2 linked regions of the Arabidopsis thaliana genome follow. The protein of the gene in region 1 purifies or fractionates together with the protein of each later gene. This does not show direct contact. Each region holds a gene or a part of one and is shown on either strand. Other genes may lie near its edges.

Evidence for each region. The genes of interacting proteins can lie anywhere in the genome.
Region 2: the proteins of AT5G22100 (region 1) and AT4G18465 fractionate together in Arabidopsis thaliana (co-fractionation; one large-scale study listed by BioGRID). This does not show direct contact.

The regions. Positions count from the first base shown.
Region 1 is NC_003076.8:7,327,278-7,331,452, forward strand, and holds AT5G22100 (RNA cyclase family protein), read left to right. Parts: upstream 1-1,592; 5' UTR 1,593-1,737; coding exon 1,738-1,936; intron 1,937-2,173; coding exon 2,174-2,323; intron 2,324-2,406; coding exon 2,407-2,585; intron 2,586-2,665; coding exon 2,666-2,841; intron 2,842-2,924; coding exon 2,925-3,138; intron 3,139-3,231; coding exon 3,232-3,441; 3' UTR 3,442-3,653; downstream 3,654-4,175. Other genes in the region: DPB2 (DNA polymerase epsilon subunit B2), read right to left, coding at 3,794-3,934, 4,006-4,116. UniProt on the Arabidopsis thaliana protein: Does not have cyclase activity. Plays a role in 40S-ribosomal-subunit biogenesis in the early pre-rRNA processing steps at sites A0, A1 and A2 that are required for proper maturation of the 18S RNA.
Region 2 is NC_003075.7:10,194,939-10,202,305, reverse strand, and holds AT4G18465 (RNA helicase family protein), read right to left. Parts: upstream 5,353-7,367; 5' UTR 5,251-5,352; coding exon 5,147-5,250; intron 5,071-5,146; coding exon 4,926-5,070; intron 4,604-4,925; coding exon 4,529-4,603; intron 4,411-4,528; coding exon 4,321-4,410; intron 4,231-4,320; coding exon 4,151-4,230; intron 4,066-4,150; coding exon 3,996-4,065; intron 3,926-3,995; coding exon 3,840-3,925; intron 3,739-3,839; coding exon 3,669-3,738; intron 3,573-3,668; coding exon 3,477-3,572; intron 3,375-3,476; coding exon 3,269-3,374; intron 3,175-3,268; coding exon 3,128-3,174; intron 3,028-3,127; coding exon 2,944-3,027; intron 2,822-2,943; coding exon 2,768-2,821; intron 2,669-2,767; coding exon 2,568-2,668; intron 2,473-2,567; coding exon 2,382-2,472; intron 2,196-2,381; coding exon 2,031-2,195; intron 1,927-2,030; coding exon 1,837-1,926; intron 1,678-1,836; coding exon 1,606-1,677; intron 1,520-1,605; coding exon 1,421-1,519; intron 1,343-1,420; and 9 more. Other genes in the region: CHLI1 (P-loop containing nucleoside triphosphate hydrolases superfamily protein), read left to right, coding at 1-409; AT4G18460 (D-Tyr-tRNA(Tyr) deacylase family protein), read left to right, coding at 5,627-5,760, 5,845-5,911, 5,985-6,015, 6,140-6,280, 6,374-6,399, 6,481-6,543; SNI1 (negative regulator of systemic acquired resistance (SNI1)), read right to left, coding at 6,795-6,867, 6,970-7,067, 7,149-7,307. UniProt on the Arabidopsis thaliana protein: May be involved in pre-mRNA splicing.

The sequences.
Region 1 (4,175 bases):
AAAAAAAAAAAAAAGCTAAAGCCTAAAGCATTTTTAGAAACATTTATTTTGCTTAAAATGAGGTATGGATGAACATAAGAATTTTTAACAAATGGGAAGGCCCAATTATGCTTTCGATCAAATCATATTTATTTTGACATTTAATCCAATTATTATTGTATAGAAATGTGAGTTGCAACACAAAGAAAATAGTTCACATTAAAATAAAGAATTTTGTCAATAAATTAAAGACAAAAACAAACTACAACAATTTGTAGCGATGTGGCGAAAAAGTTTGATCACTTTATTATAAGAGGTCAGTTTTTTTTTCTTAATAAGTGGTATGTTGATATATAGTTTTTTTTTCTTTCACATAATTCAGGTTACTAAAAGTTTTATGAACAGTTTTGCTGTCAAAAAAAGAAGTTACATTAAAGTTTTATCTAGCTGTCGTAATTTTATTGGTGTGAACTACTTTTTGAAGGTAGCATAAAATCTACAGAGAAAATTTGGTGGGCAATCACTAAATGATCTTTAAGTTCAATCAATGATACTATTTTCTTGGTTATTAATTCGGCGTTTTTATTTTAATATTTCAAGTATCTAATATCCATTACCACAAATTAAACCGTGAATTTAATCATTTTTCGTCGTTGATATGAAGATATTATTTTCTGTAAATAATTTCTATACAATGTTATGATTATGGGCTTGATTGGTTTTCCCTCTGCCACCCACATCGTTTGTGGGTGGTAGCGGTTGGTAACGATTAATACCAATCATAGAAACGGTTAGATACCACTTTGGACCGCTCGAAATCGTCAGATTTCAAAAGCTCATTTCCGCAAGCGTTTGCGGTTGCGGGTGGAAGCGGTTAGGTTAAAAAGAAAAAAAAATCTTTTTTTAATTAATTAAAATAATTTTGGCTTCCACCCAAAGCCCAATCACTATAATTAAAATAATCTAGTTCTTTTATATTTTATTTTTATTAGAAAATTCTAATCAATATAACCCTATTCTCTCAATTATGGCATCCATCCAAACTGATGAAAATCAAAATCAGGAATTAAACATATCATCTTTCCCTTTATCTATTCATTAGCTAGTGTAATTCTTTGAGTATTTCATAGCATCATTTTTTTTTATTTTGTATTCTTTTGAGTTTTTTAATTGAATACATGTTTCGATTTGTTTTCTCGATTAGAAAATCATTTGATCAGACGAGATGATATATTGTATTTTTATTTCTTTTATCAAATTTTTGAGATGATATATTGTATTTTTATTTGGTCAAAAAATCAAAATTTCTAATATTATCAATTTATCATAATAATATATTGCATTTTTATTTTTTTTAATAGTAATATATTATATGTTTTTGTTTAGTTTTATTAATTATTACCGCACCCGCTGGTTTACCAGTCATAAAACTCCCGCAAACGCACCTATTATCAAACGCTTATCCAGTCGTTCAAAACGCTTGATAACGCTTAAAACCGCAACCACCGGTTTCCGCAAACTTCCGTAACCGCATCCACTCCGTTTAAACCAGCCAGGCCCTATATTTTGCTTCTTAGTCAACAGTATAATTTCAAGTTAAGAAGGAAAAAAAAACTCTTAAAGGGCCTGAGGCCCGATTAAGTTAAGCCCAAAACTGAAAATTAAAATAATAAGCCGCATAAAGTGAATGGTGAAGAAGAAGGTCTCATTGGGATTTAGGGTTTAAGAAATCTTCCGAGAAAACAGAGAGACAGAAAAATGGTGATGATGAAGAAGATGAAGGGAAGCCAAAGCTTTAGACAAAGACTTCTTCTTTCAACACTTTCTTCAACACCTATCTCGATTGATGAGATTCGTGCCGACGAAACGATTCCTGGTCTCCGACCTCACGAGGTTAATCTTCTCCGCCTCTTAGAAATTGTCACCGACGACGCCGTCGTTGATATTAACGAGACCGGTAAGTAACCTTTCACCTGATTTTAGGGTTCATGACTTCAGATTTACTGATTTTAGGAATGATATTGAGCTGAAGCTAAAGTTTCACCAATTTAGGGCTTCAAATTTTGTATCTTTCAGCTAGGTTTCGATTCCAATCATGTTTGTGTTTCTGAAAGCAAAACTTGTAGAAGAAGAAAATGATTTTTAAAAATTCGAATTGGTTTGTTAGTTTTTTAGTATGTTGCGAATTTGGCAGGGACTCGATTAAAGTACAAGCCTGGAACTATAGTGGGAGGGAAGAACTTGGTTCACAGCTGCTCGCTGAGTCGATCCATTGGCTATTATCTTGAGCCATTGCTTTTGTTGGGATTGTTTGGAAAGAAGCCTCTTTCGATTAGGCTCAAAGGTATGTACCTTCTACTGTAAAACTGCTTTCAAAAGCATGTGGATATTTGATGATCGAGTGAGCAAGTATTTTAACTCTTGCAGGAATTACAAATGATCCAAGAGACGCTAGCGTTGACACATTCCGTTCCACTACCTTGAATATCATAAAGCGTTTTGGAGTCCCTGCAGAAGATTTGGAGCTGAAAATCGAAGCCCGTGGAGTAGCTCCGAATGGAGGTGGAGAAGTTCTCTTAACAGTTCCAAATATTAAGACTCTAAGTGTATGTAGTACTTGTTCTCTTTTCTTCTTCCGCATTGCAAGGTTCAAATGGATTTCTTATCTGTTATATTATTGCTTCAGGCGGTTCATTGGGTAGAAGAAGGAATGGTGAAGAAGATACGTGGTACAACTTTCTCTACAAGAGTGACTAGTGACTTTGAACATTCCATGAGATTCGCAGCTCGTGGTATCTTTAACAATCTCTTGCCTGATGTTCACATTTTCCAAGATCACAGAGCTGGCGCTCAGGCTGGAAAGTAAGAAGCTTAACTAAAACCAAAAGCAAGAGATACTTGATTGATTAAAGCTCACCTTTTTAAAAAAACCTACGTGATTGCAGATCTCCTGGATACGGAATATCATTGGCAGCAGAAACAACTACAGGATGTTTCATCTCTGCAGATACAACAGTGTCTTGTGAAAGACCAGACGAAACTGGAGAGCTCGATGTAGAGAAGAAAGAGAGATCGCCAGCAGAAGACACAGGAGTTGAAGTAGCTTCATGGCTTCTTCAAGAGATTGAAAAAGGTGGAGTTGTTGATTCAACACACCAGGTACGTTTTAAAATTTGAAAACATTAACCATAGACACCAAGATCGATCAGACTTTAAGTGGGTGTGTTGTTGATTCTCTGAGGTTTTTTACAGGGATTGTTGTTTCTACTGTGTGCGTTATCTGAACAAGACGTGTCAAAGGTTCGAGTTGGAACATTATCTCCATATGCAGTGGAGACGTTGAGGAACATTAAGGAGTTTCTGGGAGTTAAGTTTGCCATCAAACCTGATCCATTGACTGGGACTGTTATACTCAAGTGTACTGGAAGTGGCTTAATTAACCTCTCCAGAAAGCTCTCTTGATTTCTCACTCACAGTCACCTTTTACAATTTTGTCTGAATGAAAGCGCTTTTCTATAATTTGAGTGGATGTGTATTTTTGACCTAATCATAATGGCAATTTGCATTTAAATTTATGCATTTTTTACTTTAGATCGACCCTTGTCTGATATAAATTTATGACTATTATTTGTTTACCTTAAGACATATCCTAAAAGAATACTTAATTTATAAGGATACAACTTGTATACAACAGAGAAGCAAAGAATGGGGCATGAAGTATTTTTTTCACTCTTTCTGTATACCTTTTAAGCTCAGGCTTGTCTGGTAAAAATGGCACTCAATTGATCTCCTGGGATGAATTTTAAAAGGAGAATCACAAAGCAGAGAGTTCGACTTCTTGAGTGGAAGGTCGATAAGCTACGAATGTGCTATCAGTTGAGAAAGAGCCTGGATTGAAACATGTTGTTCCCCCAAATTTGCAAACCTCTTGCTCACTCTTGTCACCTAATACTATCTGTTTTGAAACAACAACAATACTTAGTTATAAGGCGGGTTTCGTGCAGGATTTGATATAGAAATGAATACCGTATGAGGAGTTGGGTACAGTCGAAGAGCGTGATCGTAGTTCCAAATGATGGGTTGCACCATGAGAGGTAGAGGACATAGATGGCTCTGATGAGTTATTGTGTAGACAAGCTGTAACAACACGTTTCAGGAGTTTCCATCATTTACCAGGAAAACTTTTAAATCATACG
Region 2 (7,367 bases), on another chromosome or scaffold:
AGGGACGGTTAGAGATGCTGATTTACGGGTCAAGATTGTTGAAGAGAGAGCTCGTTTCGATAGTAACCCAAAGGATTTCCGTGACACTTACAAAACCGAGCAGGACAAGCTTCAAGACCAGATTTCAACTGCTAGGGCAAACCTTTCCTCGGTTCAGATTGATAGGGAATTGAAGGTGAAGATCTCTAGAGTTTGTTCAGAGCTCAATGTTGATGGGTTGAGAGGAGACATAGTGACTAACAGAGCAGCAAAAGCACTTGCAGCTCTCAAAGGAAAAGATCGAGTAACTCCAGATGATGTTGCAACCGTTATCCCTAACTGCTTAAGGCACCGTCTGAGGAAAGATCCACTGGAATCTATTGATTCAGGAGTTCTAGTTTCCGAGAAGTTCGCCGAGATTTTCAGCTGAATAGGAGATTCGATTCTGTGATCATTTTTCTTTAACTTTTTCTACTCTGTAAACGGTGAGAAGAACCAAAACTATAAACAGGCAAATCTGATTGAATATAGAGTCTATGCTTTATTCATTAAGTTGAGTTGTTCAAACTTCAAATCATAGACTCAATAGAACTCTGTTTATATTTGTGTAACTACATACAAACATTCCTGCATTGATTATGGCTATAAAGCTATCAGAAAACGTTGTCAGGATCAACTGTTACTATATCTTGAAACGCAGGTGATAACTTATTGATTAGAAGGACATAGCGTTTTGCCGGTTCTGGTAAAAGTGTGGAGCAACTTCTGTCAGCCAAGAAGGATTGATGGTGACGACATTCCGCATGTATTGACGCTCAGTTGAGACAATGGATTGGTAAACCACCCATTTTGGATTCACCCTGAAGATTGTATAAAGAGTATATATACCAAATAAGCTTTCACGTTCAAAAGAAAAAATCTTCAACTTTTAGATGTTATTGAGGTTTTTGCTAAATCCATAGCAACAAGATATACTACTAACCTGAATAATACAGATGACGGATGAATATAAACTTCTTCAGAGCCTCTAATGGTCTTGTATACTCCATTGCTGTGTGGCTAAAACATCGAAAAGAATTAAGATGATGAAAATCAGATTTCTTTATAGGGCTGAAAGGATGTGCAGAAAAAGAGAACTGAAATGGGTCACTTACTTCTAAACGGCATGCATTGGCAAAAAAACCTGCAGTCACAGCTTTTCTCACAGCCTGAAACAGTGTAACGTTAGAAACATGCAACCTTTTTTCAAATGAAGCAAAGTGCTACAGTTTCTTACCTCCATGTCTCCGTCACATGATTTCAAGGTGATGCCTAATCTCCGAGCAATCCGTTTGAGTTGATCTCTGATTTCAACTACTTTTTTCTGTGAAAGGAAACAAAAACAAATTAAATTGGAGAAGGGAAGATAAGGACTACTTGCCTGTTCTGTTATTATACGCACCATGGATTGGTAGTTGAGGAAATTCTTGTAACACCACTGTGTAGGCTTTTTCGACTCAAGAAACCCTTTGTATACATTCAGGAATGTGACATGGTCACCCTATATAGACAAGAACAATGATTTTACTCAGTCAAAAAAAGATTTTCAGAGATATAGTTAGCTCAAAGTTATATATCAATACATACCTCTGCGGCTGCAAATCTCAGTTTTGCTTCATCTTGTTCTTTCTGTACTCCCCGGGCAATGATCCAAACAGACTGCATAGAAACATATTCAAGATTGCATCTGTTAAGTTTCAAATCCCATAGTTCAAGTCGAAAGCAAATAATCACAAATTTGCAATATGTTCGGTTGTTCCTTATGTAAATAAAGAGAAGAAACTTTAAGCAAAGGAAAAAGGGGTAAAGAGCTTTTACTTGGACAGAGAGAACTGCAGCGATTGTAATGATCTCATGTGAACAACCAAGCTCACTTGAAGCCAAAATCATTTTTGATATCATTGGGTCCTAGCAAAAAATGACGAGCATGAGACATGTAATATGCAGAACAAACTGCAAATGAACATTACATTTTAGATATATAATAGCTCATGGTCAGGAAGAAAAAGTACCAGTGGAAGTTCTGCAACTTGGAATCCTGTTGGCGAAGTGAGTTTAGCATCATCATCGAGGATCTGAAGTGAATAAAGTACTTCAAGTGCTCGAATCATTGCTTCAGACGATGGAGGTGCAGGCCAATCGAAACCCAAGATATTATCTATGCCCAAAGCTTTTAGCTGAAAATACCAAAAAGATCAACAGAGTTTGAGAAATCTAGAAGCAAGAGCTTCCTCTCATCTGGATATTAATTACTTAATAGAAAAGGTGAAAAGAAAAAACTTGTGTGGTTTTGCGTAACGCCTCCCAACTTTTGAGTTCTTATAAAAAAAAACTAAATGACAAGAGTTGAGCAAGTCTAGTACCTGTATTACAGTAGAAACAAGATTCGACCTCTGCATCTCCGGTATGCCTTCTCCAGGCATTTGGTTGAGAAAATAATCTTCGGTGTAAAGCCTAGTTACCATAAAAATATCAGGAAGAGGATTAATGAGCACTAAACAACTATATCAGACGAAATTCTGTACTTTAATAAACGGATTGAGAGTTACCTGTAACACTTCCCAGGCCGAACTCGCCCAGCCCTACCAGACCTTTGCCTTGCAGATGCTTTTGATATTGGAGCCACCACAAGACTTTCGATATCTGAAATCTGTGAGGGTAAGAAATGTAAGTTGCTTTAGAAATGTCCAACATATTACAAAAGATGGAACTAAAAATATATAAACAAAAGAAATGGAGATGGACTTACTGGGTTATAGAACTTCTGCTTCGAGAAACCACTATCAATCACATAGACAACGCCCTGAATAAAGAAACGACACAGAAAGTTACTCTCAATGATGTATCAGCAATATCTGTATGAGAAATACATCTGTTCGTTCCATGGGATTTTGCAACAAAAAGACAGTAAAGAAGAATCCTTGCCTCTAGAGTCAATGAAGTTTCTGCAATATTTGTTGATAGTATAACTTTTCTCTTTCCTCTGGGAGTTGGAGTAAAGATCAATTCCTAATATAAAAAAGGAGAAAACAACATTTCGCCGTTTCAGTTATTCAAATACTCTCAAAAGTATGGTTTAGATTGTCTAGAGCCTTGCAACAAAATTAACCTGTTCTGATCGAGAAAGTCCTGAATATAATGGAAGAGGTAGCAGTCCTGAAAAAGATATGAATTGCATTATGGTGCTTAAAAACTGAAGGCAAATGCTAAAGTTGATCGACATGATCTTATTTATGTGTATATATTATACCTGAAGAATTCTTTTGATTGCTATGAGCTTCTTCTTCAAGAAGTTTAATAGCAGTTTCAATATCCTCTTGACCAGTAAGAAATACAAGAACATCCCCAGGTGGCTCCTGAACATAAGAAGAGACAATTTAAATACAAGAACATACCTGGAAAATAATATACTAAGTTTGAACACATTGAATGGTTATAAGAACATCAACTTAAAGTACCCGTTCATTAATCAACAGTATCGTTGAAACAACTGATCGGATATAATCTGATACAGGCTCCTCGACATAGTGAATTTTCACACTGAAGCCTCTGCCCTAAGAAATTTTGACCAAGAAAACAAAAATATTTAAATATCACATAGGAAAATAGGTTATCAGAGAATGATCTTACGCAAGAGAGTCACAATATACCTCAACAGATAAGATTGCAGGTTCCAACTTTGGTCCAGGGGTACTACCTTCTGGCGCATGGCGTTTTTTGCTACATAATTTAACATAATGTATAAGATTATATCGTACTAGTGATTCCAAGAGCCCTAAACTTCAGGAAAAAGAACTATAACCATTCGGTAAGATCAGAACCTGGAATTGAAGAAATTGGACATGGTTTTTGCTTCGATTGTGGCTGAAGATATAATCAGGCGTAGCTCAGGACGACGACGTTGTATCTGAAAATCAATAATAAATAGATGTTGCTGAAAGTACACTAACAATTAAGACTGTGTTTGACTGAGATACCTTTTTTAAGAGACCGAGTAAAATGTCAGTTGAAATAGATCTCTCATGAGCTTCATCTATCATAATAACACTGCACAATGACAAATAAGAAAAGGTTTTACCAACACGATTTACTCATAATCTGAACAGATTATACAGTGCAACAAAATCATTACCTATACTTTGTCAAGAGGGGATCCTCCATCATCTCTCGAATTAGTACCCCATCTGTGAGAAATTTTACACTAGTCACACCCTGTTGTAACCAAGCAAAAGATCTTGTAAGCATCATCAGAATACTCCATACATAAGAAAAAGTAGAAGAGCGTTAAGGAAAGAGTCTGACGGAAGTTGTATGATCTTCAAATCGAATAGTGTAGCCAACTTCCTCCCCAAGATTCACTCCCATTTCCTCGGCCACTCTCGCAGAAACCGCCTAAGCAAATTACAAAACAAAGCATATATGTGATCAAATATAAAAACTTGAGCTGAGATATCACTCTTCAAAGTTCAAACTTGAGTTGTAAGATTTTGTTTAGGGAGAGAAAACAAACCTGGACAGCTAAACGTCTTGGCTGTGTGCAAGCAATAACTCGGCCTCCTTCAGCCCACCCAGCTTCTTTCAGGTACTACAAAATATAATAAACAAAGCTATTGAGCTAAACAAGAAGACCTTGCTATTGATCGAATTGTAGTTTTCTCCAATTCTCCAACTTCCCCAACAGCTATTGAGCTAAATATTGCATGATTTTGCAAGATTTTGAGTAACTTTTATGCCTCTCTCTAGCTACATTGCAAATATATCAGCAAGTTACTATCACAATCCAAATTCGCAAGTCGCAACCTTTGACTCCTATCAAAATTTGCCTACTGGTCTAAGAACCTTGAAATTAGCAAAGCTAGGTGCTTTCCCCAAAAATATTAACGAAGAGCAAAGAATGAAGAAGAAACCTGAGGAATCTGAGTAGTTTTACCACTACCCGTCTCGCCAACGATAATGGTGGTAGCGTGATTCTCCACCAAATACAGAATCTCAGTTCTGTACTTGTACACTGGCAATCTCTGTCTTTGCTTCTCTATATTCGCATACCCATAGCTACAATTTCGACTAAGTTACAATAACAATCATCTGCTGAACAAGTAAGATCAAAGAGAAAGAGAAATTAGCATACCTAGAAGAAGAAGAGGATGCGAGATTGTTGGACATGAACACTATGCCTCCTTCTCCATCCTCTTCGAAACGAGGTTTCTCGGTCCCTGGTTTCCAAAACGCCATCTTTTCTTCGCCCAAGAGCTTTGCCTTCTTCAGTTATTTCAGTTTATGAGAAGGCTTTTTCTCTCTTATGTGCTTTTCGTTGTTAACGCCGATGGCGACACGGTTGCCGGCGATTAACAGGTTCGGGTCTAAATTTTAGGCATTTGGTTTAAATGATTTCGGTTCAATTTAAAAAAATCAATTTGGTTCGGTTTGATATCGGTTATATGTTCACCATTCCTTGGGATTATTTAATAATTAAAAGAAAATGTATCGTCTTGCTTCTTCTTCCCACACTACTCCACCACTCCATAACAAGCTCTCACCTTTTCTCCTCCGCCGTAATCTACGCCACCAAAGTCAACGACTTCACCGTCGGAATTGTCAGATCAGAGCAATGAGAGCTGTAATCCAAAGAGTCTCATCTTCCTCTGTTACGGTGGATGGTCGAATCGTATCGGAGATTGGTCCTGGTCTCTTGGTACTAATTGGAATCCATGAATCAGATACCGAGTCTGACGCTGATTACATGTATGCTTGTACAAAATGATGAATGCTTCCATTTAAATTTTCATTATAAAGTTTGCAGATTCTGAAGTTGAAACATGTTTATAGATGTCGAAAAGTTTTAAACATGAGATTATTCTCTAATGAAACCACTGGCAAAGGATGGGACCAAAATGTAAGTTTTGTTTCAATGAATTTGTTTTTCAAGTTATTTGAAAAAATGGAAATTTTGATGCTGTTTGTTGCAGGTAATGCAGAGGAATTATGGAGTTTTACTTGGTAATGATGCATCTCTTTATTATTCATATACCATTTGATTAGAGAAAGGTTTAGCTTGTGGTTTATGTACTGAGGTTTGTTTTCTTTGCTTGCCCTGGTCTTTGGATCATGTGTGTTAATACAGTTAGTCAATTCACATTATACGGATTCTTGAAAGGTAACAAACCAGATTTTCATGTCGCAATGCCACCTGATAAAGCGAAACCTTTTTACGCCTCTTTAGTTGAGAAATTCCAGAAAGCATATAATCCTGATGCTGTCAAAGGTCAAAACACACTCTCATTGATCTTTTCTTAATCAAAACTTCTCATTTTCTCTAGTCTTCTTGACTAAATTGGTTCTCTTTTTTAAAATACAGATGGTGTGTTTGGAGCTATGATGCAGGTAAGGAGATAACTCCTTTCAATAGCAAGGTTTGATTAGTATCTTGTGTGATTAAAACATGTTCTCTAATCATATTCAAAGGTCAATCTTGTAAACGATGGTCCGGTCACGATGCAGCTCGACTCACCTCAATCCACCAAGTAAGCCAAGATTGTTTTGCATAAACTTATCAGGCATGGATTTGTTACTAAAGCAAGTCTTGATATGTTCCATAAGTGAGAAAAAGGCATCAACAGAATCATAAGATCACTCATTTTGTATTGGCAAAACTATAGAATATATAAATTCATAATTCATTGATCTGTAACTCTTAATTCCTACATTACATTGTAACTTCTTTGCTTCTAATCCAATTGAAGTCTCTAGATTTGTTAAAATCTTGATTCCTAGATGCTTTAAGCTTTTGCCTTGAGTACCATTCCTGCAGTAAACAACACTTCTTTCCCAAACGGTAGAATCTCGATTTTCCTATAACAACCATTAAACTTTCGGTTGGACAAAGGAAAGCGGTATAGTATCTCGATTGCACAAAGAGAAAAAAAACTGAGAGTGAAAGAAACTGCAGCTTACTGATCTACTCGCTTTAGACTAGTAAATGCAGAGATGATACTACTGCATATCTCTGAAATAGAGTCTCCTTCGTGAGGGTCAGAGAATGTAAGCCGAGCCTGACGAATAGTTAAATACATTAGGAGGCCAAAAAAAGCTCTGAGAACGTGAAAGAAGAAACAAAGGTATTATTGTGTTACCAGAAAGGCATGGCCGATGAGGATCTGAACAATGTCAGGTCCTATCTTTTTAGTGATGTTCTTTGGATTTGTGCCATTTGAAAACGTCTTCAAGATCCCATTTAGTGTTTTCGAATCCTCTGCTTGAGGAACAGTTGTTCTTCGGGTACGTACAACAGGCTACAACATGAAAGAAATTTGGTCAGAGAGAGAAATCAGAGAAATAACTATATATTGTAC